Linked DNA regions of Lepisosteus oculatus. The protein of the gene in region 1 purifies or fractionates together with the protein of each later gene. This does not show direct contact. Links are inferred from orthologs where the notes say so. Each region holds a gene or a part of one and is shown in the gene's direction. Other genes may lie near its edges. The genes, in order: med19b, cdk8, cdk19 and polr2g.

Evidence for each region.
Region 2: the proteins of med19b (region 1) and cdk8 purify together in Homo sapiens (affinity purification with mass spectrometry; 8 studies listed by BioGRID and IntAct, counting the BioPlex papers as one, with this or other methods). This does not show direct contact. The link is inferred for Lepisosteus oculatus from reciprocal best matches to the Homo sapiens genes MED19 and CDK8.
Region 3: the proteins of med19b (region 1) and cdk19 purify together in Homo sapiens (affinity purification with mass spectrometry; 7 studies listed by BioGRID and IntAct, counting the BioPlex papers as one, with this or other methods). This does not show direct contact. The link is inferred for Lepisosteus oculatus from reciprocal best matches to the Homo sapiens genes MED19 and CDK19.
Region 4: the proteins of med19b (region 1) and polr2g purify together in Homo sapiens (affinity purification with mass spectrometry; 3 studies listed by BioGRID and IntAct, with this or other methods). This does not show direct contact. The link is inferred for Lepisosteus oculatus from reciprocal best matches to the Homo sapiens genes MED19 and POLR2G.

Annotation. Positions count from the first base shown.
Region 1 is NC_090701.1:41,770,525-41,778,343, reverse strand, and holds the start of med19b (mediator of RNA polymerase II transcription subunit 19-B), read left to right. Parts: upstream 1-4,812; 5' UTR 4,813-4,943; coding exon 4,944-5,160; intron 5,161-6,494; coding exon 6,495-6,617; intron 6,618-7,819. Other genes in the region: tmx2b (thioredoxin-related transmembrane protein 2-B), read right to left, coding at 455-568, 1,457-1,517, 2,624-2,812. UniProt on the Homo sapiens protein: Component of the Mediator complex, a coactivator involved in the regulated transcription of nearly all RNA polymerase II-dependent genes.
Region 2 is NC_090700.1:5,395,250-5,403,172, forward strand, and holds the start of cdk8 (cyclin-dependent kinase 8), read left to right. Parts: upstream 1-4,922; 5' UTR 4,923-5,148; coding exon 5,149-5,276; intron 5,277-7,923. Other genes in the region: E3 ubiquitin-protein ligase RNF6, read right to left, coding at 423-603, 4,665-4,835.
Region 3 is NC_090697.1:5,170,493-5,178,476, reverse strand, and holds the start of cdk19 (cyclin-dependent kinase 19), read left to right. Parts: upstream 1-4,979; 5' UTR 4,980-5,282; coding exon 5,283-5,410; intron 5,411-6,030; exon of another isoform or gene 6,031-6,259; intron 6,260-7,984. Other genes in the region: amd1 (S-adenosylmethionine decarboxylase proenzyme), read right to left, coding at 2,611-2,720.
Region 4 is NC_090713.1:22,714,154-22,721,687, forward strand, and holds the start of polr2g (DNA-directed RNA polymerase II subunit RPB7), read left to right. Parts: upstream 1-4,524; 5' UTR 4,525-4,667; coding exon 4,668-4,679; intron 4,680-5,269; coding exon 5,270-5,379; intron 5,380-5,475; coding exon 5,476-5,635; intron 5,636-5,948; coding exon 5,949-5,999; intron 6,000-6,138; coding exon 6,139-6,204; intron 6,205-6,323; coding exon 6,324-6,395; intron 6,396-6,482; coding exon 6,483-6,516; intron 6,517-7,243; coding exon 7,244-7,257; 3' UTR 7,258-7,534. Other genes in the region: pld7 (5'-3' exonuclease PLD4), read left to right, coding at 1-128, 377-618, 954-1,137, 1,670-1,784, 1,892-2,019, 2,099-2,302, 2,391-2,696, 2,859-2,958 and 1 more. UniProt on the Homo sapiens protein: Core component of RNA polymerase II (Pol II), a DNA-dependent RNA polymerase which synthesizes mRNA precursors and many functional non-coding RNAs using the four ribonucleoside triphosphates as substrates.

The DNA of each region.
Region 1 (7,819 bases):
AGACGAAACAGCACAAAGAACAACATGTAGCAGAGTTAGTGTTGGTAGGTCTCCCATCATCAACATCTTTGCTGGATTAATGCCAACAACCACAATACTGTATATGCTATAATAGTAGGCGCTGTGAGCAGCATAATCAACTCGGAAGTGGAAGGTTGAGGGTTCGAATCCCAAGTGAGACGCTGTTGAGCCAGGTGCTTCACCTGAACTGCTCCAGTAAGATACACAGCAGTAAAATGGCGGCAAATAGAAGTCTCTTAGCATAAAAAACATAAGCCATATATATTACTTAGTAATAATTCCTGGAGTGATTATTCACAGCGTACAGGTCCACTGACTTGCTCCAGTTTAATAAGGATTATTGAACTGCAGTTCCCCCACCCTGCCTGTACAGAGTGAGGGGACGCTCTAGAGTATTAGAACCGGCAGTACCTACAGTAGCTATCTGACTGACCTATGCACAAAGTGAGGTACAGCAAGCCCATCCTGATGTCCAGTCTGAAGAACAGGATGACGTTGGCCACCTTACTGAACAGGAAGATGTTCCCCACGTGCTGCTCCACAGTGACTGGAGAAGAGAAAGGGTTTTAAACACAGTTAACAGGTTTAACTGCAAGTGTATAGCATATTATACCTACACACATTATACACTATATACCACGTGTATGCCCCTGCTGACACTGAATGAATGTGTATTTCAAGTGTGTGCACAGCCCAAATGTAAGAACACAGGCATTCAAAACAATTATTAGGAGGCCATGACTAGTAAGGGCCAGGGGAAAATCTGGCCAGGACGCCGGGGTAACACCCCTACTCTTTTCAAGAAACACCCCGCGGTTTTTAATGACCACAGAGAGTCAGAACCTCCGTTTTACTTCTCATCCTCTGCACTAAATGTGTATAAAGACCAGTAGTCAGGACATTGGGGTTAATGCCCCTACTCTCACTGACAGTGTCCTGGGTCTGTAATGACCAGCAGTCAGGACACCGGGGTAACACCCCTACTCTTTTCAGTCAGGACACTGGGGTCAACATCTGAATGACAGCATGTCCTACAGCATAGTGCTCCTGTTCCCCATTCTGAGGCTTGGCTTGAAAACTCTGGTCTAGAGGGAAGGGCGCCACCTACCGGTTGCCCACTGGCCATCAGTACATTATTTGGGGTTTGCATGCATCAGGACAGGGGTGTCAGACTCACTTCCTTGAGGGCCTGATGCCTTCTGGTTTTCCTACCAACCAGATAGGATGTTCCTTAAGCTGAATAATCAGCTTTTAAACAATACACTTCATTAAAGGGACAGTTCATTACAAACACCTCAGAGCCAGGCTCCACATGTTACACTTCAGCAGTTTGTGAAAGAATCAGACCCACTGCGCGCCTGAGCGCTCAGGCTGCTAGAAAGCCGGACGCGCCCGGAGCCGAGACGAGCGCCCCTGTGCGACTGGAGTGTCTTACTGGCTCTCCGGTTCTTCATCATCACGATGGCACTGAGGAACATGAGGATCTCCACTTCCCTCTGGGGGTAGAGCACACAGCACGTCAGGGCGACAGGGACAGCACACTGACACGCACCAGCCCACAGCAGCCATTGCTACCACTACCAATCGCAACACAACCAACACCCAACAGACTGCTCAGAGGGGTACGGCACACGGCACACTCTCCCACAGCACCCCACACTCACCCACGGCACCTCACATTCTCCCACTGCTCCCCACACTCTCCCACACCCACCCACGGCACCTCACATTCTCCCACTGCTCCCCACACTCCCTCCCACCCCCACCTGCACCCTCCCGCAGCTCCTCACCCTACATCACCCCAGGCCAGTGGCCGCCCTCAGCCCCCTCTCCCCCTGTGTGTACAGTAAACACATCAGGGCCAACGGACACACCAGCTGCCTGCTGCCCCAGTGCTGTGTGCAAAACAGTACAGGGGTCTCCAGCCCTGGGCCTTGAGAGATCCTGTCCAGTTAGTCCAGGGGTCCCGAGCACTGGGCCTTGAGAGATCCTGTCCAGTTAGTCCAGGGGTCCCGAGCACTGGGCCTTGAGAGATCCTGTCCAGTTAGTCCAGGGGTCCCAAGCACTGGGCCTTGAGAGATCCTGTCCAGTTAGTACAGGGGTCCCGAGCACTGGTCCTGGAGAGATCCTGTCCAGTTAGTCCAGGGGTCCCGAGCACTGGGCCTGGAGAGATCCTGTCCAGTTAGTACAGGGGTCCCGAGCACTGGTCCTGGAGAGATCCTGTCCAGTTAGTACAGGGGTCCCGAGCACTGGTCCTGGAGAGATCCTGTCCAGTTAGTCCAGGGGTCCCGAGCACTGGGCCTGGAGAGATCCTGTCCAGTTAGTACAGGGGTCCCGAGCACTGGGCCTGGAGAGACCCGGTCCAGTTGGTACAGGGTTCCCACCCCTGGCCCTGGACAGACCCGGTCCAGTTAGTTCAGGGTCCCCAGCCCTGGTTCTCCTCGTCCTCTCCAACACTCTCCCTGTCCTAACAGTCCCCTCGCCCTCTGTCTCCCCACTTGCCCTATGACCAACACCTGAGCTCACTGGCGAGTGTCTCTCTCTACCAGCCGGTCAGTCGCGGAGGTACCGGCCTGCTCTAAAATCACAACCCTGGACTCACCCAGTCGAAATCGCAGGAGTTGCCGTCCTCTCTGGTGGTAGACAAGTGCTCACAGATCCCCGGCGTCTTTCGCACCAGCAAGAAAATCACCGACAAAAACACTGACGCCACATAATACGGCTTGAGCAGCCACTTGTACACCCGGGGAAGGTGATACAGAAACGCCAGGAGGGGAGTAAGTAACGCCATTTTTATAACTCTCAAACAAGAGTGCCACTATATATATGCGGCGGATTGCTGGTGCAGACGAACATGCACACAGAGGTCTGTCCGCCGACAAATAATAACAGTCTGCGGTCGCAGGGAAGATTTAAAGGGGAAGTGAAGAGAGGTCACTGCGGACAAACAACAGACATAAAGCCACGCCTCTTGCGTAATCGGATTGGTTAGCTGTGGAGACATCTTGGATATTATTGGATATTACAGCTGTCACTCTTCTTTGCAAAGGGATAGGACTTTTTCGGTTGATCGGGCATTGTGACATACACTGTAAGGCCCTTGTAAAAGGGAAGTTTTTGAATGAGCTTTATTGATACGTAAAATTAGCCTTTTATTGTACCGTAAAGATGAGAAACTGTACGCCTCTAAATTTGGTGTCGGCTGTTAACATAAACAGTCAAATGAACACAAAAGCTTAAACCTAAATAAACAATTCTATACACTTATATACGAGTATTATTAGTGTCCAGAAAAGCGCTATATAATAATGCGCATTATAATAATAATGTATGATTATTGTTATTATATAGCACTTTTCTGGACACTCCACTCAGAGCTCTTTACGGGTAATGAGGATCCCTACCAGCACCAGTGTGCAGCCCCACCTAGATGATGCTCCAGTCTGCTCACACACACCAGCTCTCAGTGTGGAGGAGAGCAGAGTGATGAAGCCAGTTCAGAGATGGGGATTATAAGGAGGCCATGACTGATAAAGGCCAAGGGGAAATCTGGCCAGGACACCGGGGTAACACCCCTACTCTTTTTGAGTTTTTGTGATGACCACAGAGAGTCAGGACCTGAAGGACACCGCCTTTTTACAGTGTAGTGACCCCGCCATTATACTGGGGCATTAGAACCCACACAGACTGCAGGGTGAGCGCCCCCTGCTGGCCCCACTAACACCTCTTCCAGCAGCAACCTTAGGTTTCCCAGGAGTCTCCCCTCCAGGTACTGACCAGGCTCACACCTGCTGAGCTCCAGGGGGCTCCAGGGGGCTGCCAGCTGGGAGCCGCAGGTGCTGGTGTTTTGACACATAGTCAAAATACATGGTTTGACACCTACTGTCAAAATACCAAATAAGAAGTGTTATACACAAAAATACCAAAGAAATTACTGTAAAAAACAAAAGGCGATTCAGACATGACCGCAGCTCTGTGCTGAGACAGAGAAAGGGAAAGTGGCTGAGTCCCTGAGGGAGCACTGCGGTTCGGGCAGCAATGGAGGAGAACGAGGAGAAGGAACAGCTGAGTGACCAGCAGGACAGGAGATGGGTGGGTGGGCAGTAGGACAAAACCTTCACAAATCAATTCTGTTTGTGTGACACCTGTGACCCTTTCCACAAAGTGGTGAGAGTGTCAAACAACAGTCTAGCTGTTGAAGCCGATACAGTAACGTCTTGCAAGACACAGCTGGATGTAATCCTCCAGTTAGGAGAGGAGACGCTCCTTTACACAAAGGGTGGTGGGAGTGTGGAGCAAGCACCCCAGCCGCGTTGTTGTTGAAGCCAGTGCAGTGACAGCACTGGAGGAGATCCTCCAATCAGGACGGGAGCTTCTTCTTTACACAAAGGGGGGTGGGAGTTAAGAAACAGCTGGATGAGATCCTTGGATCAGTTGTCCACCTAGTGCCAAACAGGATAGACGGGGCAGATGGACTACTCTCAGCTGTTTAAGAATATTACATTTCTCCATAATGGATAATAGTGAAGAATACAGGTACTTAAGTGGAAGAACAACGCCATTAATAATATTCGCCTGCTCACTGATGTGACACTGAATTTAGACCGGTGATTCCTAAATGCTAATTAATTATACAGTATTTAAATAAAAACGAGAATGCGTCACTAAACGTCTGCACCATTGTAATTGCGTCTGGTGTGCAAATTTGATCTGAATCATGCAACAGCGGTTCACTGCTTCATTTTGAGTCTCCTATATATGAAGAAAGACGGTAGCGCCCAGTTTGCTTTGTCGTACGGAAGCTCACGGATTCAGAGCAAAACAACGCGAAGCACGGTGCGGTGGTTTGGTAGTATTTGTGTTAAAATTGCCAAGATTTATTTATTTTTTTTATTTCTTAAAATTAACATTTTTCTGCATCGATGACGGAAATTTTCTCTTTGTTTGGACAAAGCGACTCTCAAGGTCCCCCCGGCTCCTCGACGCTGGGCTACGGGCCGGGTAAACAGCCGGGGCCGCCACCCCAGAATCAGGTGTCCATGGCGGTACAGATGCCACCACAGCTCGGGGATGAGGGGCCTCCTCTTCGGAAGCCCGCAGCGATGAATGAGCCTTTTTATTTACTTCGGGAACTTCCAGGTAAACAGACTGCGCTCGCCCACATAGTCATCTTCGATAAGACTTTGCGTTATAGACGAGGAAGTAAAATATTCAGTATCATTCAATAGTTTCTTTTTTAAGTCGGTAAAAGTATTCAGAGATGTATTGTACAGGGCACAGCAGTGCAGAGCTTGAGAGGATGAATATAGTGTCCGAACTGTGCTTGAAACTAAATACGTCTCGTTGCTGTTCCGTTTCAGTTGTAACTTTGTGTGCTATTGTCCTGTAAGTTAGTGTATTAATCCCTCTCTCAGTGCACTGTTAATGTACTATAGTGTTCAGTCAGTGTGTCTGCACTGTATTAACCCCTCTCTCTCAGTGCAGTGTTAATGTACTGGAGTGTCCAGTCAGTGTGTCTGGACTGTATTAACCCCTCTCTCTCAGTGCAGTGTTAATGTCCTGGAGTGTCCAGTCAGTGTGTCTGGACTGTATTAACCCCTCTCTCTCAGTGCAGTGTTAATGTCCTGTAGTGTCCAGTCAGTGTGTCTGGACTGTATTGACCCCTCTCTCTCAGTGCAGTGTTAATGTCCTGTAGTGTCCAGTCAGTGTGTCTGGACTGTATTAACCCCTCTCTCTCAGTGCAGTGTTCATGTCCTGTAGTGTCCAGTCAGTGTGTCTGGACTGTATTAACCCCTCTCTCTCAGTGCAGTGTTAATGTCCTGTAGTGTCCAGTCAGTGTGTCTGGACTGTATTAACCCCTCTCTCTCAGTGCAGTGTTCATGTCCTGTAGTGTCCAGTCAGTGTGTCTGGACTGTATTAACCCCTCTCTCTCAGTGCAGTGTTAATGTCCTGTAGTGTCCAGTCAGTGTGTCTGTACTGTATTAACCCATCTCTCTCAGTGCAGTGTTAATGTCCTGTAGTGTCCAGTCAGTGGGTCTGGACTGTATTAACCCCTCTCTCTCAGTGCAGTGTTAATGTCCTGTAGTGTCCAGTCAGTGGGTCTGGACTGTATTAACCCCTCTCTCTCAGTGCAGTGTTAATGTCCTGTAGTGTCCAGTCAGTGGGTCTGGACTGTATTAACCCCTCTCTCTCAGTGCAGTGTTAATGTCCTGTAGTGTCCAGTCAGTGTGTCTGGACTGTATTAACCCCTCTCTCTCAGTGCAGTGTTAATGTACTGTAGTGTCCAGTCAGTGTGTCTGGACTGTATTAACCCCTCTCTCTCAGTGCAGTGTTAATGTCCTGTAGTGTCCAGTCAGTGTGTCTGGACTGTATTAACCCCTCTCTCTCAGTGCAGTGTTCATGTACTGTAGTGTGCAGTCAGGCAGTGTTCCTGTAGTTTCTAATACAGCTATTATCTTTTGCCCTTCTTTCAGTGGGGAATGAACTGACTGGGAACACTAACCTGATCACCCATTATAACCTGGAGCACGCCTACAACAAGTTCTGTGGGAAGAAGTTGAAGGAGAAGCTCAGCAATTTCCTGCCTGAGTTGCCTGGTAAGACGTGGCTGGGGTTACATCACTCTTGCTGTCTTGCCTGTCCTTTCCTCTGTCTCTCTGCTCTCGGTTCAGGCCGAGAGACTCTCCGGACGTCACCATGTGCACAGCATCCTCCCTCAGTCATGGCAGAAAACTGGAGTATTTCAGTACATGTAGGCGAAGAGAGGCGTATTACAGATGAGTAATTATGTCCTATTTATTACTATTGTCATGGGTAAAATCCACTAGTTTTGCCTTTTAAATTGAGGTTACACAGTGGAAAACCCCACGGTGCTGTTCTGGACGCCTCGTCCCCTGCTGGCTGAAGAGCCCCTGATTTTGGAAATGTTTCTTTCCCGTCGTGCTTCCTTGAAACCGCATTACAACGTCTTCCCAGCCCTGGAGAGACATCTTGACAACTTCAGTGTGAGAAAGAACAAGCGCTGCAATTAAATCTGCTGACTGGCAGGAGCAATCTGTCCAGTTTTGGATAATAATGATTCCTGACACTTAAACAGCGCTGTTATGGACACTTGGTTCAAAGCGCTTTATAGATAATGAGGATCCCCTCCACCACCACCAGTCTGCTCACCACACACCAGCTCTCAGTGGGGGGGAGAGCAGAGTGATGAAGCCAGTTCAGAGATGGGGATTATTAGGAGGCCATGATGGGTAAAGGCCAGGGGGAAATTTGGCCAGGACACTGGGTAACACCCCTACTCTTTTCAAGAAACACCCTGGGACATTTAATGACCACAGAGAGTCAGGACCTCGGTTTTACATCTCACCCGAAGGACAGCGCCTGTTTACAATCTAGCGTCCCCGTCACTATACTGGGGCATGAGGACCCACACAGACTGCAGGGTGAGCGCCCCCTGCTGGCCCCACTAACACCTCTTCCAGCAGCAGCCTTAGCTTTCCCAGGAGTCTCCCCTCCAGGTACTGACCAGGCTCCCTACTGCTGGGCTCCAGGGGGCTGCCAGCTGGAAGCTGCAGGGTGATATGGCTGCTGTCCATTATACTGTGTGCCCTCCCTGTGCGGTCAGATATCCGTCTCTTGTATGGCATGCCGGAGGAGGCAGGTGTCTGAGCTTTCCAAGAGACTGGTCCGCCAAGCGCATTGAGCGCCAGAGGGTACCAGTCTGAGGGGATCTGATGCTGCAGGATGAGGGCCGGGATGTTTCAGGTGTCAGGAGAGGCTGACACCCCTCTCTCTCAGT
Region 2 (7,923 bases), on another chromosome or scaffold:
TTTGCACACACCTATGTATTTATTTTTATTTATCTTGTTTGTCTTTTGTTTTATAACTATTCTGATGTCTGTTTTGCTTGTCCTGGGCTGGACTGCTGTAACACATCAATTTCCCTACGGGATCAATAAAGTCTCATCTATCTATCTACTCCATAGGGGCCCCCGAGCACGGCCCTTCACCCCGAGCGCTCCAGGGCTGCGCCATATAAACGGCCGACCCTGCGCTCCAATCCTGAGCTTCTCTCTCCCTGTCTGTGTGTCTCAAGGAGAGCAAGCTGGGGTCTGCGAAAAGACGAACTCCTAATGCAAGAAACTGTATCGGGCCAGTGAAGCGACCTCATCTGATCTCCCAGCAAGCGCAGCCTCAAACCCCCGCCCAGCAGGGGGCAGTGTCACCGGGCCAGGCAGGGGGACCCGCGTACCTGGCGTGCCCAGGAGGTTGCTGTCCCTCATGAGGCGGTACTCGTCCTCGCTCAGCCCGTCGATGAACTGGTAGTACGCCTCCTCGCGGCGCAGCCTCTCCTCCTGCCGCCGCCGCTCGTCCCGCCCGCCGGGCGCCGCAGGGCTGGGAGGGTCCATCGCCACGGAAACCGCTCCGGCTGCCTGAAGGAGGAGGGGGGGGGAGTTTACCGGGAGAACACACTCCGTGAGGCTGGCGAGCGAAACAAACAGCAGGGTTTCGGGGCTTTCCTCTGCACTATTAACTTTTAACTTTGCATCCATTCGTTCAAATTCATTCGAAACCTGGAACCCGAGAACATCATATCCGGCCCGCAGACGGCCTGTCCACAGTCTCCCGCTGCACGTATATAATGAGAAAACCGTTATCACTGCCGCACAACATTTTGACAAAAGCAGTAATGGGGGGAAATAAATCCACAAAGCACCGCATGAGGAAAACCTCAAATTGCCTGGCATCTGTCAGAAAGCAATAGTCTGGCGACATGAAACATGACAGCAGTGTCAGCAGTCAGCAGCGTACAGGCTCTGAATACCCTGTGGGCCTGAAGAATCGAAACCGGGAGTCCTGTACCTCCAGGACTGCAACATGACACAGCTCAAGCCCTTGGTGCACTCTGTGGGCAGAAAGCAGGTGGGGCTGGCTGCTCAAATTGGACAAAAACTCCTAGCAAAACAATATGCAGAGTATTGTGCAGATTTCAGTTTTCAGTACAGCTGCTGTGAGGGCTATAAGCTGTAAGCTGTCAGACTCTCGCTATGTTTGGATCCACTGGAAATATTACTGACTGTACTTGTGTTGCTTTTATGATTCATTACAACTTACACCTTTAAAATGACGTTTGCTTCATCTGAATCCTTATGCCCGTTTATGCACTACGAGGAAACAACCTTGAAATAACCAAGAAAAAGTGCTGTCTCCAGTAGCATAAACTGGGAGTGTATCTGTTAGGATAACAAAAACACAGTCCATTCACACGGGGCTGTTCATGTCTCAGTCACTATCCAGAAACGTCTATCCCAATGAAAAATGACCGTATCAACCACTGAGACCAGAATATAATTCCTTATCACATATACCATCTTAAACTCCAACAAAGTTTCACTGCGGAGCTGTTGGTACACAGAAATAAACATCTGTTAGGCATGATCTCTGCATTTGTCTAAAAGGCTCTGCGACGAAAATATGTTTTTTTATCTCCCCAGCAGAGCCAGCAAATGGAAGGAACAGTCTAAAAAAATTTTCAATTAAAAACAACCTGGTGCAGAAAGCTGCTTTCTCATTTTTTTAAGAGTACACGGAAGATACGTGCTCTCCGTAGCAACGCGCGATTAGGCGCCCACTCTAAAATTTAAGGTTAAACAAAAATAGAAGCCAAACACAGTATCATGAAGTGAAATGTAAAATCAGTGCATAAAATGGTTTATACAGAGCGAAGATGGGCCTTCGTAAAAAATACACTAACCCTAGATACAAATACTACAAGCCTTACAGGGCTCCCTACCAATCAGTGGGCCCAGACCCGTATATTGACAGACGAAACGCCCAAACAGCTGAGCGGGGAGGCGGGACAAACAGAAAACAAAAAAAAAATGAGAGTCGGGCCCCGGATATTTCATCGCGAAGAAGACACAAAAGACAGCGTCGGTCTCCCGAAATCCCCGCAAAATACGCCTCGGATTCCCTTTGAAAAAAACCCCAGCCCCGCCGCCGGTGCTGTTCTGTCTTGCGGACGTGCGTGTCCATGCAAACAAACGCGTAACCTATACAGTGAGATTGCGTTGCCTCACCACCGCCGTGTAGACCGTTTCAGTGCTCGCGATACACAAAATGGCACCGCAAAGAGAGCAGACGCTCCGTCCAGGGAAGACGGCACACGTACAAGGAGAACCGCTGCCGTGACAAGACAGCTCGGGCACACTTCAGTACCTGAAACCCTCAGCTGAAATATGGACGGGTCCTCTTCCCTTCCCCTGCTGTCCGGGATACAGTGTAAGATGGGAACACCAGTGCAGCACCCAATACAGTCCTACCTGCAACAAGCGACGAGATACATTGCACCCCCCCCTCCAGGAGACATGTACAGTACACTAGGCTTTCTTTTTTAGACTCACGTTTTGTACATATGTTCCTTTAACGCCTCAATTAAAATCGTGTCATGGATTTAAAAGTAAACCTTTCGATTTATCTCCATACTCTTGAATACCAGTGTCGCCCCCTCCCCCCCCTTCTGTTCTAGTCTGTTCTTTGTGTGTCCAGACTGTGAGTAACTCTTGTATTGTATTGTATGTATTGTACTATTATTATATTATTTGTTACACTGTGGCTGTGTTGTCTGTGTTAAGCTTTATTTATTGTTGTAGTCTTCTTATTTATTGTTATTGTCATCCTGTAAAGCGCTTTGAGAAGCCACCTTTAAAGGCGCTATATAAAATAAAGTTTATTTTTATTATTATTATTATTATTATAAGCTGCTGTTGCACTGCAATTTCCCTCACGGGATCAATAAAGTATCTATCTATGTAGCGTATTCCCTATTGGAACACGATACTGCACCGTTTTCCGATTCGCACAGCATTTACTGGTAAATACCATGGCGGAATCTGCAAGTCATACAAAAGACACCTGAAGAAGGCCCCACGGCCGAAACGTTGTGTTTTCTTTCTTCTCTTTTCAGCATGGAATACGCGCATTACCTGTTCCTTTCTATTCGTATAACATCCATCCATCCATTTTCTAACCCCTTTTAACAGTACAGGGTCACAAGTGAGCTGGGGTCAAGGTGGGATACACACTGCATGGGACCGCAGTCCGTCACAGAGCACACCGACACTCCAGGGCCGATCTTCCCAGAAGCCAACTAGCCCACCAGCGTGTCTTTGGACCGTGGGAGAACATACACACTCCATGCAGACAGCACCCCAGGGATTGAACCCTGGACCCCTGCGCTGCGATGCTAACCAGTTCCTGCAGATGGTGCGTTTTTTTTCCCCCCACCCAGTTAAAAGCCTGTATCAAACTTCTGTGGGAAATGTCCTTGTGACCCAGCGTCTTTTCCTGGAGAAACAGCCACAAGTGGCAAATCATGTCAGTGCATCATTTGTGTTTTCCATTTTGTACCTTGTGTTTTAAGGTTAGTTTGCCCTGCTCCATTCTAGGCCTGGAATGTATTGATGTTTGCATACTTGAAAGTACAGATGCCTCTTGTATGTGTACCACGGCCATTGATGTTTAAGTGTAGTATAATAATGGAGGTCCAACAAAGAGTCCTTAATTTATATACCCCCCTCCATCCAAAATTGCTTTACAGACAGGAGGGGTCTCCCCTTAGTCACCACTGAAGGGCAGCTTGTGTGACCGAGCATGTGGCCATTCTGGACCAGGAACCCCACTGCACAGCAGATCGGCGAGGCGGAGGAGGACTGAGAAACCGCTTCTTCAGTTGAACTGAAGGGGGAAGTTAAGGTTAAATCCAGGAATTTAGCCTCGATTACCGATTTAAAGACCTTACTCTTCAGAAGAGCAACATGGGATCTTTAAACTTTATTATACAGCGAAGTTCTTCGCTCCTTGCACGACTTTCACGCAAGACACGCAGGGCAACCACTATCGTGACTTGGGCGCGTCTCCAATACTCCAGGACCCCGACGACACCCTTAAATGTCTCACACACCAGTGCCACACACGCCCCGCGAGAGCTGGGGGAAAAGACATCTGGCAGAGCATCTGGTGACAACTGGCAGAACTGGGGAAAAAAAGAAGTCTCATGTCTGTAAACGACTGTCCTCGCAATCGTCTATAACTGGATATTAACATGAGATTCGACCTTTTTTTCTTACTGAACGTTGCCGGAACAAAACCTGATGCTCTTCACGTCTAGCATGGTCACTCAAGCGAAATTCCAGTAGAGGGAGCTCTAGAGTTTCGGAGCTCATCTTTGTACATATATATACACTGCAATATCTGTTTACAAAACGGCCAATCTCCTTTTTTTGTTTGTTTTTGTTGCTCTGACGTTAAAATATACCCCCCCCAAAAAATAAAAATTTAGGTTTCGTGACGTTCAGTCTAAACCCAGTCTGGTTACTTCACAACTGTGGAAAAAGACAGCCCAAAAAACAAAAGAAACCCGAAGAGTTGGCTTAGCGCGTGTTTTTTAAACGCCCGGCGCGATAACGTGATTTACGAAGGTCGGAAAACACACGTTTCCTCTGCCGCTGGTCCACGCAGCGGAGCTCCTCTTGACAACAGCGACGGTTTCGCTGCGGAAGGGCCGGGGGGTTAAAATCCACGTGGTGCGCCGCACAGAAGCGCACGTCTCCCTTTCCAGACGGTCCTTTATTTTAAAGCCTGGCTTGGCGACGCTTTGCGACATTGCCGTGCGCTGATGCCCAGCTCCTGCGAGCAGATACCGGCAGAGAGGCGCAGCTGCAGAAAGCGAGAGAGAGAGAGAGAGAGGGAAGCAAGCAGAAGCGGTGTCGGTGTCGGTGTCGGTGCAGCAGGAGCCCAGACGCTGCAGAAAATCGTGCATCTCTCCGCCACACGCACAGCCGGTACATGCCGCATCTCGGCCCGGCGAGGGGGCAGCGCTAGGGGGGGGGGGGAAGATCGATAGATACGTAGAGCCCAGGTGCGAAGAGAGGGGCTGCTTCCCAGGCGGCGCTTGGGGGAAAAAAAAGGCGAGGAAAATGGACTATGATTTCAAAGTGAAGCTGACTGGGGAGAGAGAGCGAGTCGAGGACCTGTTTGAATACGAGGGCTGCAAAGTTGGAAGGGGCACTTACGGACATGTGTACAAGGCGAAGAGGAAAGATGGGTGAGTCGGCAGGCCTGCCGGGCTGGCCCCGGGTGAAAATAAAGCGCACACTTTCTTCGCGGCTCTTTGGTTCATTTTAGTTGTGTTGCTGTTGTTGGTGGTGGTGGTGGTGTTGCCTCTATTGTTTGAGATCCCAGAGACGGTGGTGTTGTTGTTGTTGTTGTTGTTGTCGTCCTGCTGGATAACGCAACCCGAATAGAAAAGAGACATGCTCAGTAACACAGTACCAGCTCCATGAGATGTGGCTGTTTTTGTCTCTTTAACTGGAGAGGGACAAAGCTGCCCGGACTGTCACACCAAACCCCCCCCAGTCCGTGCCAACCAAAGATAACTGGATAGGTGCCGTGTGCTGCTGTTTTTGCTAAATCGTTGCTCTTCTTAACTGGTGTTACGAATTTGCACCGCCTGGCTGTTGCACTGTTTTCTGATTAGAACTACAGTGGCGGCGTCCCCCGTAATAGACCGAGCCCGTTTGCAGAAAACGTCCTGAAAAAATACATTGTCGAGGAGGTGTTTACGTTGTAAATCCTCAGCTTGGGATGGTGGGATTCGGGAAACCGATTTGCCGAAGAGCGACGTTCCCATATCAGAGTAACCTCTCGTTTATGGGGGGGAGGGGGGGTGAATTTCAGGTTTTCTTTCCTCTTCCGAGTCTCCACGACGATGGTGTTATTCACTTTTATTCGCCCCCCTTTTGCAATAAACGCGAACACGAGGCACTTGCAAACAAACCGACATTTCTCGGAGGGTTCTGCGTTTGTCGGAGCTGTGTCTTCCTGCGGACAGCTCTGCGCGTCGAAGTCTGCGGTCACTGCTTTAAATCGCTCGCATCAACCCGAATAGCAACTCGCAAGAGATGCTCCATACATCTTGAGGGGCGGTTCAGTTTTTTTTTTTTAATATATATATAGCAGTTACATGAGACGAAGAAGAAGTTCCGCTTGCCCCTGGAGCTCAAGGTGAAGGACATCCTTCAGCTGCCTGGAGAGACGTGAAAGCTGACCCCGGGTTGCTGTCCTTTTCAACAGGAATTTATTAATAGTCCCAAGAGTGCACAGGTGCTTCTCTGCCACTGGCTGTATCGGTGTGAGCGTCCTTCTTTCTCTGAGTGCACACGTGACACACGCACTGTGTGTGAGCAATGGAGGGCACGCGGTAGCCACCACTCCTGTGTTTTGGCACCTTAGAAAAGAGTTTGAACTGCGGTTCTGGACTTGCCTGTCCACAGACAGAAGCCAGGCTTGGTCCCAGTATCTCTTGGGGGCACAATACACGGCTCTCCTCCCCAACAAGTCAGGGTCACTGCCAGGCAAGATGGGGGGGGACCACAGGCAGGGGGGATGAGTTTAATGTCCTGTCCTCAATTAAGAAGAAGGGACCAAAACAAAAACTGCATTTAAGTTGGCGGATGGAAGGGGTCATTCATCCCCCTCTCGAGTGAAGCCGCGCCGCTAATGAGCAGTGACATCCAGCCTGGTGTTGATGCGTGTCAGCTCTGACTGTCGGGACAGAAGGCACTCGAATATGGGTCATCTCCTGCAGTTGTCCGCCCCGAACTCCCAGCACCAAAACGCAGGGGAATCTTACAGTGTGGAGCGGCGGGCAGGGCTCTGGACTCCTCACTGGAAGCTGTGGGTCCACCACTCTCATGCGGGTTCACATCTCGGGTGGGACAGTGCTGTTGTACCTTTCCACGAGATGCTTCAGTCACATGCCCTGCTTCGTGTGTGTCTACTGATTAAACCCCTTTGGATAAAAGCCCTGGCTGACTCGGTTGATGGCACGTCTCTGTGTGTGCATCAGCTCTTTGTGGCAGAAGAGCTGTGTTACACCCCCCCAAGCAGGAAAGGGTGTGTGTGTGTGTGTGTGTGTGTGTGTGTGTGTGTGTGGTGCAAAAGTGGTTGTTGGACCAGCGGTTGGACAGCCTGTCTCTTTTCGCTGGGTGTGTGCTGTTGAGATTTTATGATGTATCTGAGCCTCCTCTTGACAGCACAGTGCCAAACCCTGCTGGTCTGCAGACACTATAACGAGAACGCGCCGCACTGCGGCGATCCCTTAAACGAGAAGGGTCCTTCTCAGTTCCTGGGGGTTTTCCTGCTTGAGAAAGTGTTGCTGTTGCCGTCTCTGAAAGAGGCCTGCAGAAACGAGCGCGATGTCACTTTCTTTTTTGCGAGCTGACCAGATTGCGGCAGCGGGAGTTTTAATAAAAGAAACACGCCTCGCAATCCAATTGATCAACACGCTCTTTTACAAGTGACCCTCCCAGAAAAAGATGCTGCTTTTAGGTCTTTGTCTCTGTGAGCCACGTGCTGTGAGACGCGGCCCAGACTGCCCGAGGTGTTGTGTTCATGATGCCGGTGCTGTTAGTTGGTTTATTCGTAGTTCCAGTGCCTCCGCAGAGTCCAGACGCGTCTGAAGCTGCAGGGCTGAGATGGTCTGTCCTGCAAAAGTCCAGCCACAGCACGAGCAGCTGCTTTCAGCAGCTCTGTGGAGCCACCCCGGGCTGCTCAGTGGAAGAACACGAGGAGACTCTCGCGCAATGCGCAGCATGTCAGCTGCTCGCTGTGGTTAGCCTCAGCAGCCAGATATCTCACACCTTCTCCATGTCCATTAAAGGCCTTTTGCATGGGAGAATCCCTGTCCCAGA
Region 3 (7,984 bases), on another chromosome or scaffold:
AAATCAACAACAGAGTGGCTCCAGCAGAAGACGTTCCGGATTTCAGAAAGGCCAAGTCAGAGTCCTGACCTCAATCTCACCGAGCTGCTGTGGCGTGATCTGAAGCAGGCCGTTCAAGCACTCATCGCGGAAATATACATGAAGTGGAACAGTTTTGTGTAGAGGAAGGAGCCAAAATACCTCCCAACCGCTGTGCAGGTCTGATCAGCAGCTACAGAAAGTGTTGGGTTGAGGTTACTGCCAATAAAGAAGGTTCCCCTCATTACTTAATATAAGGGTTCACATACTTTTTCCATCAATGACCTTGATTGTTTAAACCATTTGTTCAATAAAGAGATGGCAATGTAAAATGTGTGTTTGTCAAATAAGACTGGCTTTATTTATTCTGACTGAGATGTAGATTAGATCACATTTTAGTAGCCATTCATGCAGAAATCCACATAAGTCCTAAGGGTTTTTTATACTGTAGGGGGATGCCTATTTTATTCTGAAGAAAAAAACCACTTCTATCCATCATCCAGAAAGCTGGATTTGTTCAGTTTGTGTGAAGGAGAAAAAATGCCGAAGCAGCGGCAGATGTTCTCAAGACGCATGAATATATGTGCAATTCCAATCAAGCTTATACTGGGGTTCAACAAGGTCAAATGTCTAAATTCTTCAGTGCAGCAGAAACGTTAACAGTTTCAACGGTAATGGAAGAGCTTCCAATACAGCGTTAAAAGGGAGGAAGCAGACTCACCTCCCTTATAACTCCTTCCACTGTGCTGTCTAACTTTGTTCAGGTCTGTGCTGTACACGTTCGCCCCTGACTGCACACTAGCGCATGTTACGCCACTAGCCTTCCTTGAGAGCACTGCAGGGTAAACCACGGAGAGCTAAAAAAGGCCAGGGACACTCGGGCCGTTTCCTCATTCCAGCCTCCACAGAGGCTATAAATAACACGGTGGCATTTCAGGAACCGGAGGAGCCAATGAGCAGGGGAGGCCGGCTGCAGACCGGCACAGTCGCGGATCGCTCGGGCCTCAGCGCGCCGGTGACAAACACTCATGACAAACAGGAGGCCTGCACTGCACTGCACAACAGGCGAGCAGAAAAACACTCGGGTTTTGCACCCTACTTTAAAGGCCCTTTTCTGGCTCTGAAGACACACTGGAAAGGGAGAAGACCAGCTGGTGAGGCGCCAGTGCCCAGCCTGGCGACGGGTCCGGGCGACCCCCTGTGCAACCCCCCTGGTGCTCACAGAAACGCCGAGCAGAGCCTGGCGGGCTGGGTATGGGATTAACGCTCACCCTTTCGCTGCCTGGAGGCTGCACTCCTGAAATCAAAGACTGGATTTCCTTAGACGGCTCTTCTACTACACCCATCCCCTGAGGGTGGCTGGACTGGGCCCCTCCTGTATGCAAAGTGCTTTAGAGTCCTCTGCAAAATACGCTATAAAATAACACACTGTCAGTCCGAGAACCACCTGCTGCTCGCCACTAGCCGAGAGTGCGAGGAGACCAGAGAGAAAAGAAAAAAAAACACACAAATCTAAAGCAAACTCTTTTCTCGCCCCCCCCGAAGCGTGCTCGGGGCGAGCCATGTGCCCCCTCGCGTGGAAGCGTCTGTCGCGACCCGCCCTCTTGCACACGGAGGGGGTGGGGTGGGTGGGGGTGTGCCTTTCAGAGCCGCCCGCGATGATTGAAGGGCGCACCCGGCGGAGCGGAGAGGGGCGGCCCGATCGCGCCCGCAGGACTGCCCCCGGGAGCGGGGAGGTAAGTCACCGCGGCCGCAAGCACCGCTCCGCCACGGGGGGGGACCGGCCCGGCCGCATTCCCGGGCCCCCTCCGACAAGGGATGGATCCGCCGACAGTCGGCTCCACGCAGCCCGTGGGGGGAGCCACGTTTTGCCCGTGCGCCCAATTGCATTCACTCGACTGCCCCCACGTGTGAAGCCCGTGCGTTCTCTCCCCCCACCCCTGACTCGCCACTTTTCTTTCCCGTGGCACCGCCGTCTGTCACAGCCCAGACCACTCTCTCGCCCCCCCCCTCCAACTGGGGGAGGGAGGGAGCAGCGGGCCTGCAGTGGCAGTAAATCACCAGCGGGCACCGGTGACTGCGCACAGAAAACCCACCCGCGATCCCCCACGCATGCACGCACACGCATCGCTGGAGACCCCTTCGCCGGCTCTCTCCCTGCGAGGGAGCCCGGCTCCACCCCCCCGGGGAAGGCGAGCCCGGGCGACCCGCAGCGGCCGAGCCCCGCAGGACGAGCGGGGGACAGGCTCGGGCCGTGGGAGGGAGGGGGGGGGTGAGAAGGGGGGGATGGTCTCGGTGCAGAGCCAGCAGCACACGGCTCTCCCCTGGCCGCCGCCGCGACGCGGACACGACACCCGACCCACGACACGCACCCGGGGCAGCGAGGCTTCAAGGCGCCACGCAAAACGGATCGCCCGCTGTCTCCCCACGTACATACGCACACGCACCACAAATGAAAAAAAAAAGACTCAATCGGCCCCGTTTTTTTTTTTTAGGGGATCGCGTTTTGCAAGGAGGGGGGTGCGATTAAAAAGAGCACAACCGAGCGCAGGGCAAAGGCTGCCGTGAGAGGGACCGCCCGGCCGCACCAACCTGGGGATGTTGCGGAGGTCTCCTGTCCCCTTGCTCTCGTCCTGCCGGGAGAACCACACCTCCAGCAGCTTCTCCGTCCCCTCGAAGAAGTGTGCACCGTTCTCTTCCATCGTGAGACAACAGACACCGACAACAGAAATTACAAATTACACGTCGGGGTGGTGGTGGTGGGGGGGTTTGGTGGCTGTAATTTTTCAGATTTGCGTTAATCCTGGCGAGGTTCGGATAACTTAATGAAATGGTTAATTCAGTCTTGTGTTGTTTTTTTTAAGCAGTCCAGGTGTCGTTTGCTTGATTTTTTGCCGTCTTCCCTTTGACAGAGAATACCGTTTAGCGAGCGCTAGCTAATGTCGCCGGCCATACTGTGTAGAGCCGCGAGCGCCGCTCGCCCGGTGCTTTTATTACCTCCCTGGCGACGTCACAAGCGGGCCGCGGCCAATCGGGCGCCTCCGAGCCCATGGGCGGCGCGCCCATTGGCTGCCCGCCGTGCCAATAACTCCCGACAGGGGCCCGCCTCGGCCTACAGTTACCTTGCACACGCGAGGGGCAGCTGAGAGGTTCCTAATACCCCGCCTGTTTGAGTGTGTGCTTTCAGGAGGAAGCCTGGCCTATTGCGAGCGTTTGACACAAAAGTGACATAAGGTTTGTGCAAGATCTGCTTATTAGGTCTTGGGGCGAATGCAACGCAATCGGGTGGGATACGCATTGCACCCTAGCCCATTAAAGTAACCTTTTCCTCGGTAGGTAGGTGCAAAGGTATGTTGGGGTTTTGTTTTCAAATTGTTATTAAGTCTGGCGGGGTTCATCTTCAAGTTGGTCTTCACGCATAAGTCTGCACTCTGTTTTGTTTTGTTCTATAACATCTCATTCGACGTGTGAAACACAGCCTTATTTTTTGTGACCATTAACTTTTCTCTGGAAAACGCCGCTGGAGAGCGTTCGAATTTGCTGGATGGATTGTACTGTAAATCTCCAGTTCGTACATACGAGGAATTGTAAAAACAGCATTTATTTCAGTAGTTCCAGCTACTGGACTCATCACGTGCACCTTTTTAATCACTGTTATGTTATATCCCATATGGTGAGACATTATAAGTTATATGTTAGATATTATACGTTATATGCAAAATTTCTGATAAACCACTTTACATAGAAGAGCACAATGACACTCCAGTTACTTTGGAGTTTATAATGCAAATGTTTTGTTGAAAATGAGCGGCCATGAATTGGTGTTATCAGATAATTTTATAAGCCATGGCGTGCTGTTGACACAAAATACGATATACTGCACGTTACTGAGAGATTGAGATGTTTTCAAACAAAATAGAGTCTGGGAAACGGCGTCAGATGTTTAGAAAACGAGAAAAGCTGTATATAAGTACCACTGAATGACGGTGCATTTGTAGGAATTTAACCTGTACTAAAAAACTCAAGAAAAAAACAGTAACAGAGATGTTCTCCATACACATTAAAACTATAATTTACAATGATTTGCGTCCTGCAGCCAGGTTATTAATTAAATTCATGGACTATTGGAATATACGCGTTGTACGTGTAACGGCTGAATTATAAAACATGACCTTAAGTTTTCAAGCAGTTCTCAGTAAGTTCAAACATCTGCTGTCACTGCTGCTTTCACCAGCCACACGCCGATCGGAACTTCCGCCCCCGGCCCAGACCCCAGTTCGAGAAAACAAACGGCAAAGGATTGAAAACCATAACGACAGTCCGCCGCGCTGCAGCGCGGAAACTCGAGATCGGGGGGTGTTCAGTTCTGAGTACATGTGAGATCTTTGCATCCATAGGCTTCCCCGCAAGTACACGTGTTTCACCGACAAGATGTTAACGTGCAACGCTCTGGACCAATTAGATGTGCGGTGCCTCTTGGGCAGGTACTACTGTGAGTAATGTTACGACAGACTACCACATGCACAGAATTAAAAGGCAAAGGGTCACCAGTCCCATTCAGAACACACATCTAACGTGAAATGCACACGACTATTATACGCCCGGCTAAGAAACGGGAGCACCGACTTCTTTCTTGTTTTTTTTAAAAAAAAAACCCACAATTGCGATTTCTGCTCTTGGGGTGACCTCTCCGCAGAAGTAACCAAGTCACGGTGTTTTATAACAAACTGGGGGGGCGGCATCCGCACGCGATTAGATAATCGCGGGGCATTTCTGAGCCTGGGAAAACAGGACGACTTTCACGGTACCGGCCACACAGCGGCACTGACAGAAGACCCACCCCCTTTAAAATACGCGTATGCGCCCATTCCAAGCCTTCCACTAGACGCGGAAGACGGACATATGTAGAGATAAACATTGAAACATTAGCCGCCGATCCCGTGCTGCTGCATTTTTGTGGGGGGTTGTAAACCCCGACTGCGCAGGCGCGCCGCCCGCAAGGGGTTGGCGGGGAGTGTAGTTTCGGGACGGCGGGGGCTCCGTTAGGGTAGTCCGCGGGCCCCGTGGGTAAGAAAACCACAACCCCCAGAATGCAAAGCGCGCTCACCCAGAAACGTCAACGAGCCAGTGAACATTAAGCGGAGCAGACCAAAATCCCAAACAAGGAAATGATGGGGGAATTGAACGCTTAGATTATTTAATTAACACATTTAATAATTAATATTTTATTTTTGTTGTAAATTAAGAAGTATTTATGGGTTAAAATGGATTACGATTTCAAAACGAAGCTTGCAGCCGAGAGGGAGAGAGTGGAGGATCTGTTTGAATATGAAGGTTGCAAAGTGGGTCGAGGCACCTACGGGCATGTTTATAAAGCCAAGCGCAAAGATGGGTAAGAAAAACAACTGACATTATGATGATTAAAACCCGGTCATTTTACATGCATGTGCTGCCCCGACTGGTGCTGAAACAGTCACAGGCTTCTCCGACTGGATCTGGGGGTTATGCATTCCGGCTCGGACCCTGTCCCGGTAACATGCACACCAAATGTTGATTTTCTGTCACTCCATGTCAAGGGGATTGCACGTAGCTTAATATGGACATACAACACACTTTAATTATCCCCTACAGAACAACAATTCACCTTGGTCTGAGCAGGTCCTCGGGGGCGTCTTGAAAACTTGGAAATCTGGTCAGGCGATCAGTGAATTGTAGCGTTAGGCTGAGGCGTGCACGGCGCTGGAAATGTCACGCTGTTTTTTTCTGGAAACAGATGTACTAGAAAGTTATGGTCTTCTTCAACCCCCCCTCCCCCCACGTTTTCAAGTGTGCATCCTCTAAGCTAGCGGTTGAAGTTGAAAGCACTGTCGTCAGGCAATTATCTGCGCGACGGGCACATAACTTGCATATTTCAATGCGGTCCCACGAGTCGATAGGTGCACACATGTGAAATAAACGTGATCAAGGAGCCTCACTGGGAAGTTGGTTTGGCACAGCGATGTTGCTCGTCAGCCCAGGGTAAATGTTACATTTCAGTGGTTGGCTCAGTCGGTCTGAGATTCACGTGGAAATCGAGGTCAACCGGGTACTTGAGTTACTGTGTTGCAGCGGGAGCACGATTTGGTTTCACGGGTGCACAGTCATCAAGTACCGGTTCTGCTTGGAATAACCGAAATAAACATTTGCTGGCCGAAAAAAAATAACCGGATAAATAACACCGTGAAGTCTCGGGCGGCAGAAAGTGAGCAAAACTCTGCCGCCGCCGCACCGTGACACAGGCAGTGCACAGTTTCTGAATCCGGGTTTGCCGCTTCGACACTTTGTCTGCAGGCCGCCCGGAAAGAGACGGTACGAAACACTGTTTGGGTCAAGTGCATAACTGGGGCGTTACACGTCGAGGCCCCGGTTAGCTCCTGAACTATTCCCGTCTCTTTCGGGGTTCTTTTCTTATTTTGTTTCAACCGATACCTCGATTGTTGAAGCTTTCGTCGGCCTGTTTGCCTTGTACACGGCACCGTGTCGGAAGCTATTTTTCAGAATTCCTCTCGTTTTAAGGTTTATTGTCTTAAGAGAAAATGTAAAGAGTGTCCGTACAGATCAGACCCCCTACTGCTTCACTGCTGTCCCCTCCTAGTGGTTTGCCCTCCTCCCTGGACTCTTCACGACCTCTTTTGAATCAGTTGTTTACTCAATGGGTCTTTCCTGTCAGTGAGGTCTAGATCACCCCAAGACCATGCAGGCCCAGTTAGTGACTAACTTCTCAGTCCAAGTTCACACTAGGAGGTGTCAAAAGGCACGTCTGTTTAGGTCAAATGAGCTTAAATGACTGTTGCCCTTAACAAAAGGCTGTCGCACCTGTATGTGTGTGCCTAATATTTTCTTCTGGTGTCTGAAACGTTTATTATGTTTACAGTTAGTTTCTTTTTCTTCCCAACCTGCTTGCTCAGGGAAGAGAACGGTTTGAATTCATGGTGTGGTTTAAATTTCTCCTTATTTTCCAAGCACTCTTTAGATGCATACGCCAGTGCAGAAGCCTGAAGTGTATCTGTTGGTGTATAGTGTCGGTCAGTACCAAGCCGGAGGCATCGCTGAGTGCTGTTTAAGCGTCTGTTGAGGAGGTGTGAGTTAGGCTCCTGTAAGGAAGCACAGGGGAGTCTAAAACCAGGTAGCAGGGTTGAGAGCAAAATGCAGTGAGAGTTGAACCGGAGAGCAAACTGACCTTGCTGTGTTTTTCTCCCAGGATTCCTATTTTATAGAGGTAGATACTTGCTGCAGCTTTGTTTAAGACTGGTTGCATGTCTTACATAGGTATTAGTGTCAACCGGTACCTGTACTGATACAATGGGATTCTTACTTACAGAAAGTCTCTCGATTGTTAAAACAAGTGTAAAAACACAAAGTGCAGCCAGTGCATCAAGACAATAGAGAAACAAACAGCAGACAATGGACAAGTAAACAGTTCGAATGTAAACAATGCAGACATGAATCCATGATGGTTAAAATGCTGTAGGGTTTTAGAGTTGAATAAAGCTCCTTTTTCTTTTTTTTCATATTTGTAGTAAAAAAAAAAATCCTGAAGTTAGCATATATCTGAATGTAAATTGTACATTGCTATGATTGAGAACGGGTAAAATATTTGACAGCAGGAACTGTAACTAAGTACGATTCCTGTACTAAGTGAAGATGATTGGCGTCCCTTCCAGGGTGTATCCTGCCTTATGCCTGTTGCTTGCTGGGATAGACTCAACAGGCAGATAGCAGCCTGGGAATTGAACCCAGGTCCCCAGTGCTGCAAATCAGCAATTTTAACCACTGCACTACTGTGCTGCCCCAAGACGGGTTCAGCATCTATTAATTACTCGTAATGTTTATCCACATTTTCAAATGGGCTGAGTGATGTCTTCTGATCTGTCACCTCTCTTCATCCTGAGCAATGTAATGTGAAACTAGCGCCGAACACGATTCT
Region 4 (7,534 bases), on another chromosome or scaffold:
GAGAGGCGGTGGTCTTTGAGGTGGGAGCCCGGAGCGAGAAACCCGCCCTCAATCCCAGAGGCAGACGAGCGGCCGGAGGGAGGGAGGCGAGGCAGGAGGGAGCGGGCCGGCCCGGGCCCCGAGGCAGGGTGAGTGCTCCTGTGGGTGTTCTGATTCCTCGGCCACTCGGGGACCGCCGAGCTGTGTGCTTGACCTCCCTCAGGCCAGGGCGGGGCTGGGGTTGCTTTCCCCTTTGAGCAATCTTTGAAGCTGTCCAAATGGGCAACTAGATCCTTTACCTGGAATAGCTGTAGCTCTGCTGAAGGCCGCGGGCTCTCGGCTGGGCGGGAGAGGACCAGCCCAGCTGCTGACCGGCCTGCTCTCTCCCTCCCTGCAGCAGACTGGTTCTCAGCAGGGGCTGACCGGCCTGCTCTCTCCCTCCCTGCAGCTGCGGCGCTACTGCTCCACCCTGCTCTGCCTCCTCCCCCCCCTGCTGCTCCTGCTGGGGGGGGGCGGCCTGTTCCTGTGGCCCTCTGGGAGGCCGGGGCTGGCCGGCGCCCTGCTGGCGCCGCTGGACCTGGACTGGCTGTGGGCCGGGGACCTGTGGGCACGGCAGGAGGCCTGCGGCTCCGACTGCAGGTAGGGACGCGCGGGCGCTGCCTCCACATCCCAGGGATCCTGCTTGCTCCCCACCCCCACCACTCTCTGTGTGAAGACGTGCCTGTGGCCCTTGTTTCTCTGCGGATCCAGACCTGGGTGCTGTCAGAGAATTGGGTGACTCTTGCTGCGTGTGTGGAAAGTCTGTGCTACTGTGCTAATGACCTGATATGGCATTTATCTGGAAGGCCACAGAGTCCCAGTCGCCGTTGTACGCAGTATAATTGTAAATCCGTTAAAAATATCGAAGATCGTGCTGCCGCTGATACTGAAATCAGCAGATTGGAACGTGTCAGTCTCTGTCCCTCCTGGTGCAGCCTGTCCCTGCTGGAGAGCCTCCCTGAGGGGCTGGAGTACCCCCCTGGCTCCCCCCGCCTGACCCCCATCTCCCAGGCCTGGAGAGACCTGCTGCACAGAGCCAACCACAGCGTCAGCATCGCAGCCTTCTACCTCACACTGAGGGACACCGACCTGGAGGCCTCCGAGCCCAGCGCACTGGAGGTGAGTCAGGGAGAGGGCTTGGAGCACTGGAGGGGAGAAGGGAGAGGGCTCGGAGCACTGGAGGGCAGGCAGGGAGAGGGCTCGGAGCACTGGAGGGGAGTCAGGGAGAGGGCTCGGAGCACTGGAGGGCAGGCAGGGAGAGGGCTCGGAGCACTGGAGGTGAGTCAGGGAGAGGGCTCGGAGCACTGGAGGGGAGTCAGGGAGAGGGCTCGGAGCACTGGAGGGGAGTCAGGGAGAGGGCTCGGAGCACTGGAGGTGAGTCAGGGAGAGGGCTCGGAGCGCTGGAGGGCAGGCAGGGAGAGGGCTCGGAGCACTGGAGGTGAGTCAGGGAGAGGGCTCGGAGCGCTGGAGGGCAGGCAGGGAGAGGGCTCGGAGCACTGGAGGTGAGTCAGGGAGAGGGCTCGGAGCGCTGGAGGGCAGGCAGGGAGAGGGCTCGGACGCTCGGAGCACTGGAGAGAAAGAAAGACTTTCAGCTGCACTAGTCATGTGGGCAGAAGGTTAATGAGCTGTCCCTTGTGTGTGTGCGGCGCAGGGGAAGCGTGTGTTCGAGGCTCTGAGGGGCCTGCCAGCTCGAGGGGTGGGCCTCAGGATCGCCGTCAACAGCCCCCAGACGTACCCCAGGGACACGGACGACCTTGCGCTCGCAGGTAGGAGGCCGCACCCCGCACCCCACCCCCAAGCCTGCTCACAGCCCCTGGGGGAAGGCTGCGCGAGTCTGATCCCTGTCCCTCCCTCTCCCTCTCTGTGTGCGCAGGCGCGGAGGTGCGCCCGGTCTACCTGCAGAACCTGACCGGGGGGATCCTGCACACCAAGCTCTGGGAGGTGGACGGCCAGCACGCCTACCTGGGCAGTGCCAACATGGACTGGCGCTCCCTCACACAGGTGCCTCCCTTCCGGCTCATGGCCTGCCCGCCCCCCTGCAGGAGACCGGCTCTGTAACTGGCCGTCTGCTCTCCCGCAGGTGAAGGAGCTGGCCGTCTCGGTGACGAACTGCAGCTGCCTGGCCAGAGACGTGTCCCGGCTGTTCCAGGCGTACTGGCTCCTGGGCTCTCCAGCAGGGGGCGCAGTGCCCGCGCGCTGGCCCCGCCGCCTCAGCGCTCTGTCCAGCGCACAGCGCCCCCTGCAGCTGCAGCTGAACGGGCTCCCGGCGCAGGTCTACCTGTCGGTGAGGGCCGGCCGTCGGACAGCGCTCGTGCGTGACTGAATTTGTGTGCATGCTGCTCCTGACTCTCTGCCCGCCCACTCCCCCGCAGAGCGCTCCCCCGCCGCTGTCCGCGGACGGCCGCACGGACGACCTCTCGGCCATCCTGGGCGTGATCTCGGACGCCCGCCGCTTCGTCTACGTCTCGGTCATGGACTTCCTGCCGGCCTCCCAGTACACTGAGCCGGCCCAGTTCTGGCCGCCCATCGACTCAGCGCTGCGGGCGGCGGCGTGCGCGCGTGGCGTGGAGGTGCGGCTGCTGGTCAGCTGCTGGCCGCACTCCGACCAGCCCATGTTCGTCTTCCTGGAGTCGCTCGGCGTGCCGAACCACCCGCCCCTGAGCTGCCGGCTGCACGTGGTCAGTCCTCTCTCTCTCTCTCTCTCTCTCTCTCTCTCTCTCTCTCTCTCTCTCTCTCTCTCTCTCTCTCTCTCTCTCTCTCTCTCTCTCCCGCTGTCCGAGCGGTCTTCCCCCTCCCCGGCCGGGGCCTCACCGTGCTCGTCCTGTCCTCTGTCTCTGTAGAAAGTGTTCGAGGTGCCCTCCACCGAGGAGCAGAAGATGATCCCCTACGCCAGGGTGAACCACGCTAAGTACATGGTGACGGACAGAGTCGCGTACATAGGTAAGCAGTGCCTTGCCTCGCTGAGCCCCGCCCCACCCTGAGGCTGACTGGCCTATCACAGCCCTGCCCTGAGCCAAGCCTCACTTAACCCCTCCCCCCCGTAGGCTGGCCCTATCACAGCCCTGCCCTTTCTTAGCCTTGCCCCCCCCTCCCCCCCCTGCAGGCCAGCCTCTCAACTTTTCATTTCGTCACGCTCAGCCTTGTACCACACTGACGGTGCCCCGTTCTCTCCCCCCTACCCCCCTCGCGTAGGGACATCCAACTGGTCGGAGAATTACTTCACCCACACGGCGGGCGTGGGGCTGGTGGTGAACCAGACGGGGGCTCCAGCCGGGGCAGGCAAGCGCAGCGTCCAGAGTGACCTGCAGGCCGTGTTCGAGAGGGACTGGGACTCCGGCTTCGCTCAGCCCCTCTCCTCGGAGCCCGCCCACCTCTGCGGAGCACGGGAAAGCGCATAGCCCCGCCCAGCTGGGGGGCAGGGGGGGCACCGTCGCTCGTCTGCTTGCAGCAGCTTCCTGCGCTGCCAAAGCCACACAGCCAAAGCCTGAAGTTGAAACGGAGGAGAGACGCTGGAGTCCTTGTCAGCGAGAGTGGACACCAGGGGGCGCGCTTGATAGCCGTGTGTGTGGAGCTTCTGTCAGAGGGAGTCTGGGACACACACTCTTTGGGCCACGAGGTCCTAAGGATGGATAGTCAGTGTGTGTGTCCCAGGCTCCCTCTGACTGGACCAGTCCTCCCTCGCAGACGAGGCCCTGGACTGGCTCGGGTCGGGTCGGGTCGGGTCGGGCTGCGCTGTTCTCTCTCCACCTTGAGGGAGGTGGGCATGGGGGAGGGTTTCAGTAATAAAAGAAATTGCCTGGGTGGGGGGGTTGATTTTGATCTAATCTGTTCTGAAATGCTGAGTGAGCTGCAGCTGTAGATGTTCGTACCGCAGCGTGTTTGAAGTGAGAGCTTTGTTCGATGTTGATTTTTATTTTTTTAGGAATGGGTTTAGGATTATTTTACGGTGTGAATGCTTCTGCCTGGGTAGTGGATCAAAGCCATAATGAAGCCTCTACAAGAATATAGCAGCGTCCTCGCTGATCTTATTTTGCCTTGCATCCTTCTTAAATTATTTTTATATTTTCTGTTGCCAAATGATATGTGTATATGATGGTTCTTGTATGCACACACCTATCAAAGCCATGTAAAGCCTTTTTTAAATAAAGTTGCCTTCAGTACTCGGAAAGACGGTGTGGCTGTGGAGAGTGAACAGGAACGGTGGAGGCTGGGGTGGCCCTGGGGTCGGTGACGGAACCCACCCTCTCACTGCCTGACCTGAGAGCCAGGCCTGTGGACAGAGGGCTCAGGTCAGCCTCAGACGCCTACAGTTCTACCCATCTGACGCGTTAATTATACTTGCTCACATGAGCCTTGATAATGCTCTACGTTTTACGGCTTTAGTCGTTTGTGGGTAATACATAAACTGAAGAAATAAGGCATAACATATTTCCCTAGATGGGCCCTCTATGTAGACTAACGTGAAAGCGCTCCAGGACTCCAGTGTTAGCACCGCCCCCTCGGATGACGTAGAAATGCTGAGACGGAAACGGAAAGGCGGAGTGAGCGTCGGCGCTTCATTCGTGTTGTAGCGTTGTTGCTTTATTTATATTCGTATTTGTGTAATTAAATTGGGTTTAAAGGGGTTCTCCTTGTGGAAGTGGGACACGATGTTTTATCACGTAAGTAGCTGAATCGTTAATTTCCGCGGTCACGTAGCCTGGCGGCTCTGACTGGGGGAGAACGCTGGGCTCAGAAACGCAAGAATATTCATATTTCATTTTTAAAGTGCAAAGTTCGTCTTTGCCGGAATATTTTATAGCAGGACTGACAGAAATAAACATATTTAAGTGTGCGCAAGTGAACGCGTCTCCATTCTTGCCTGTCGACAAACGTTTCAATGTGAAAGGTTTTATTTTTAGAAATAGAAATGGGAATGCTTCATTTCACCGAACCTGCTTATGAGTTTCTCTATCCTCCTGATCCGCTATGTGTCTCCCAGCTGGCGGTGAATTGGGTCTCTCCTGTCTGGGGAGACTCCTGGGGAAAGTGCGGTGTAAATACAAGGAACTTGCTAAGCGCTGGTCACATGGTGCAGCTGGCGCACCTCACACCAGAGGTTTAGAGGATTAATCACTGCCTCCTCCAGCACCTGCTGAGGTGATGTCGCGTCCTTGTTTGACCGTCTTGTGGAAGAGCCGTGCAACAATTATTTTTAAAAAGTGGGCAGGTGCCCTGGTCTCCCGCTCTGTAACGCCTGCCTCCCTCCCAGATCTCCCTGGAACACGAGATCCTGCTCCACCCCCGGTACTTCGGCCCCAACCTGCTGAACACGGTGAAGCAGAAGCTGTTCACGGAGGTGGAGGGCACCTGCACGGGCAAGTGAGTGAGCGGGATCGCTGCAGTCCGCTCCGCTCCGCTCCAGGTCTTCCCTGCGGCGCAGGTGCTGACGGCCCCCTCTCTCTGTCTCTGTGGCAGGTATGGCTTTGTGATCGCTGTGACCACCATCGACAACATCGGCGCCGGCGTGATCCAGCCTGGCAGGGGCTTCGTGCTGTACCCGGTCAAGTACAAGGCCATCGTGTTCCGACCCTTCAAGGGAGAGGTGGTGGATGCTGTGGTCACTCAGGTCAACAAGGTCAGGACAGAGCATGGAGACCTCCTGATGGCCTGTCTCTCTCTCCCCTTCTCATCCATCTCTCCTTTCCTACCTTCCTAATCACCTGTCTCTCTCTCTCTGCTCTCTTCAATCGTCCTAATGGCCTGTCTCTCTCCCCTTTCTTCAATCGTCCTAATGGCCTGTCTCTCTCTCTCTGCTCTCTTCAATCGTCCTAATGGCCTGTCTCTCTCTCTCTGCTCTCTTCAATCGTCCTAATGGCCTGTCTCTCTCTCTCTGTCCTCTTTTCTACCCTCCTGACGGCCTCCTGACAACCCGTCTCTCCATCTCCTAGGTGGGGCTGTTCACAGAAATTGGACCAATGTCGTGTTTCATCTCTCGTCACGTGAGTACCGGACCCCTCTTCCTCTCTAGTCCCGATGCTCGGCCCTGCTTCCTGTTTCCCTCTCTGCTGCGACTTGGAAGTCTGTCCCAGCTCTCCCTCCGGCGCTGCAGGACGGTAACTGTTGCTCTTGTGTTCACAGTCCATTCCTTCAGAGATGGAATTCGACCCGAACTCCAACCCTCCCTGCTACAAGACGGTGGACGAGGTGAGTCTGGGCTTGGGTTTAACAAGGAGAGGCGCCGCCCCCCCCTCTCTCTCGCTGCCCGCTATTGCAGAGCTTCTGACTCCCCGCCGCTGGTCGGTCTGTCTGTCTGTCCCGTGCAGGACATCGTGATCCAGCAGGACGACGAGATCCGGCTGAAGATTGTGGGGACGAGAGTGGACAAGAACGACATCGTGAGTGTCTCTCTCTCTCTCTCACCCCTCCCCCCCATCTCTCGTGCTCCCGGTAACTCCCTCCCTCATGTTGTTTTTCTCTTTCAGTTTGCAATTGGATCCCTGATGGATGATTATCTGGGTGAGTCCTTCAGTCAGTCATTCCAGCCACTAGTGTTGCAGCATTGTGTGCTGTCTGTCACTGTCGCCCCCTAGTGTCACTGGACTGGGATTGCAGCCCCCAGTGTACCAGACTGTCCTACTGAACTGGAGCCCCCAGTGTAACAGGACTGTCCTACTGGACCGGAGCCCCCAGTGTAACAGGACTGTCCTACTGGACCGGGACTGGAGCCCCCAGTGTACCAGGACTGTCCTACTGGACTGGAGCCCCCAGTGTAACAGACTGTCCTACTGGACTGGAGCCCCCAGTGTAACAGACTGTCCTACTGGACTGGAGCCCCAGTGTAACAGACTGTCCTACTGGACTGGAGCCCCCAGTGTACCAGGACTGTCCTACTGGACTGGAGCCCCCAGTGTACCAGGACTGTCCTATTGGACTGGAGCCCCTAGTGTACCAGGACTGTCCTATTGGACTGGAGCCCCCAGTGTACCAGGACTGTCCTATTGGACTGGAGCCCCCAGTGTACCAGGACTGTCCTATTGGACTGGAGCCCCCAGTGTACCAGGACTGTCCTACTGGACTGGAGCCCCAGTGTAACAGACTGTCCTACTGGACTGGAGCCCCCAGTGTAACAGACTGTCCTACTGGACTGGAGCCCCCAGTGTAACAGGAGTGTTTTGGCCTTTAAAGATGAACCTCACTGTTGCTTGAATGAAGGAATGATCGCTCTCTCTCCGTCTCTCTCCAGGCCTGGTCAGCTGATCCTGCTGCAGAGGAAACTGGAGAAGAGAAGAGATCTATTTTTATAAGTGTCTGGCATCAACCCCCACCTCCCCCACACGAACCCCGACAGCGCAGCACCCCCACGAGAAGCTGCGCCCCAACTCTGCGGCCCCTGCGGGGGGGGGGGGTCAGGGTGTCACGGTTCCGGAGCACGAACCAGTCTGGGGGTGCAGCTCTCCCCAGACTGCGGGCCGAGAGAGCTGCGTTCTCTGGCTGCCCCTGCCCCTGCAGGTGACTCAGCAGGTTCTTGCTGGAG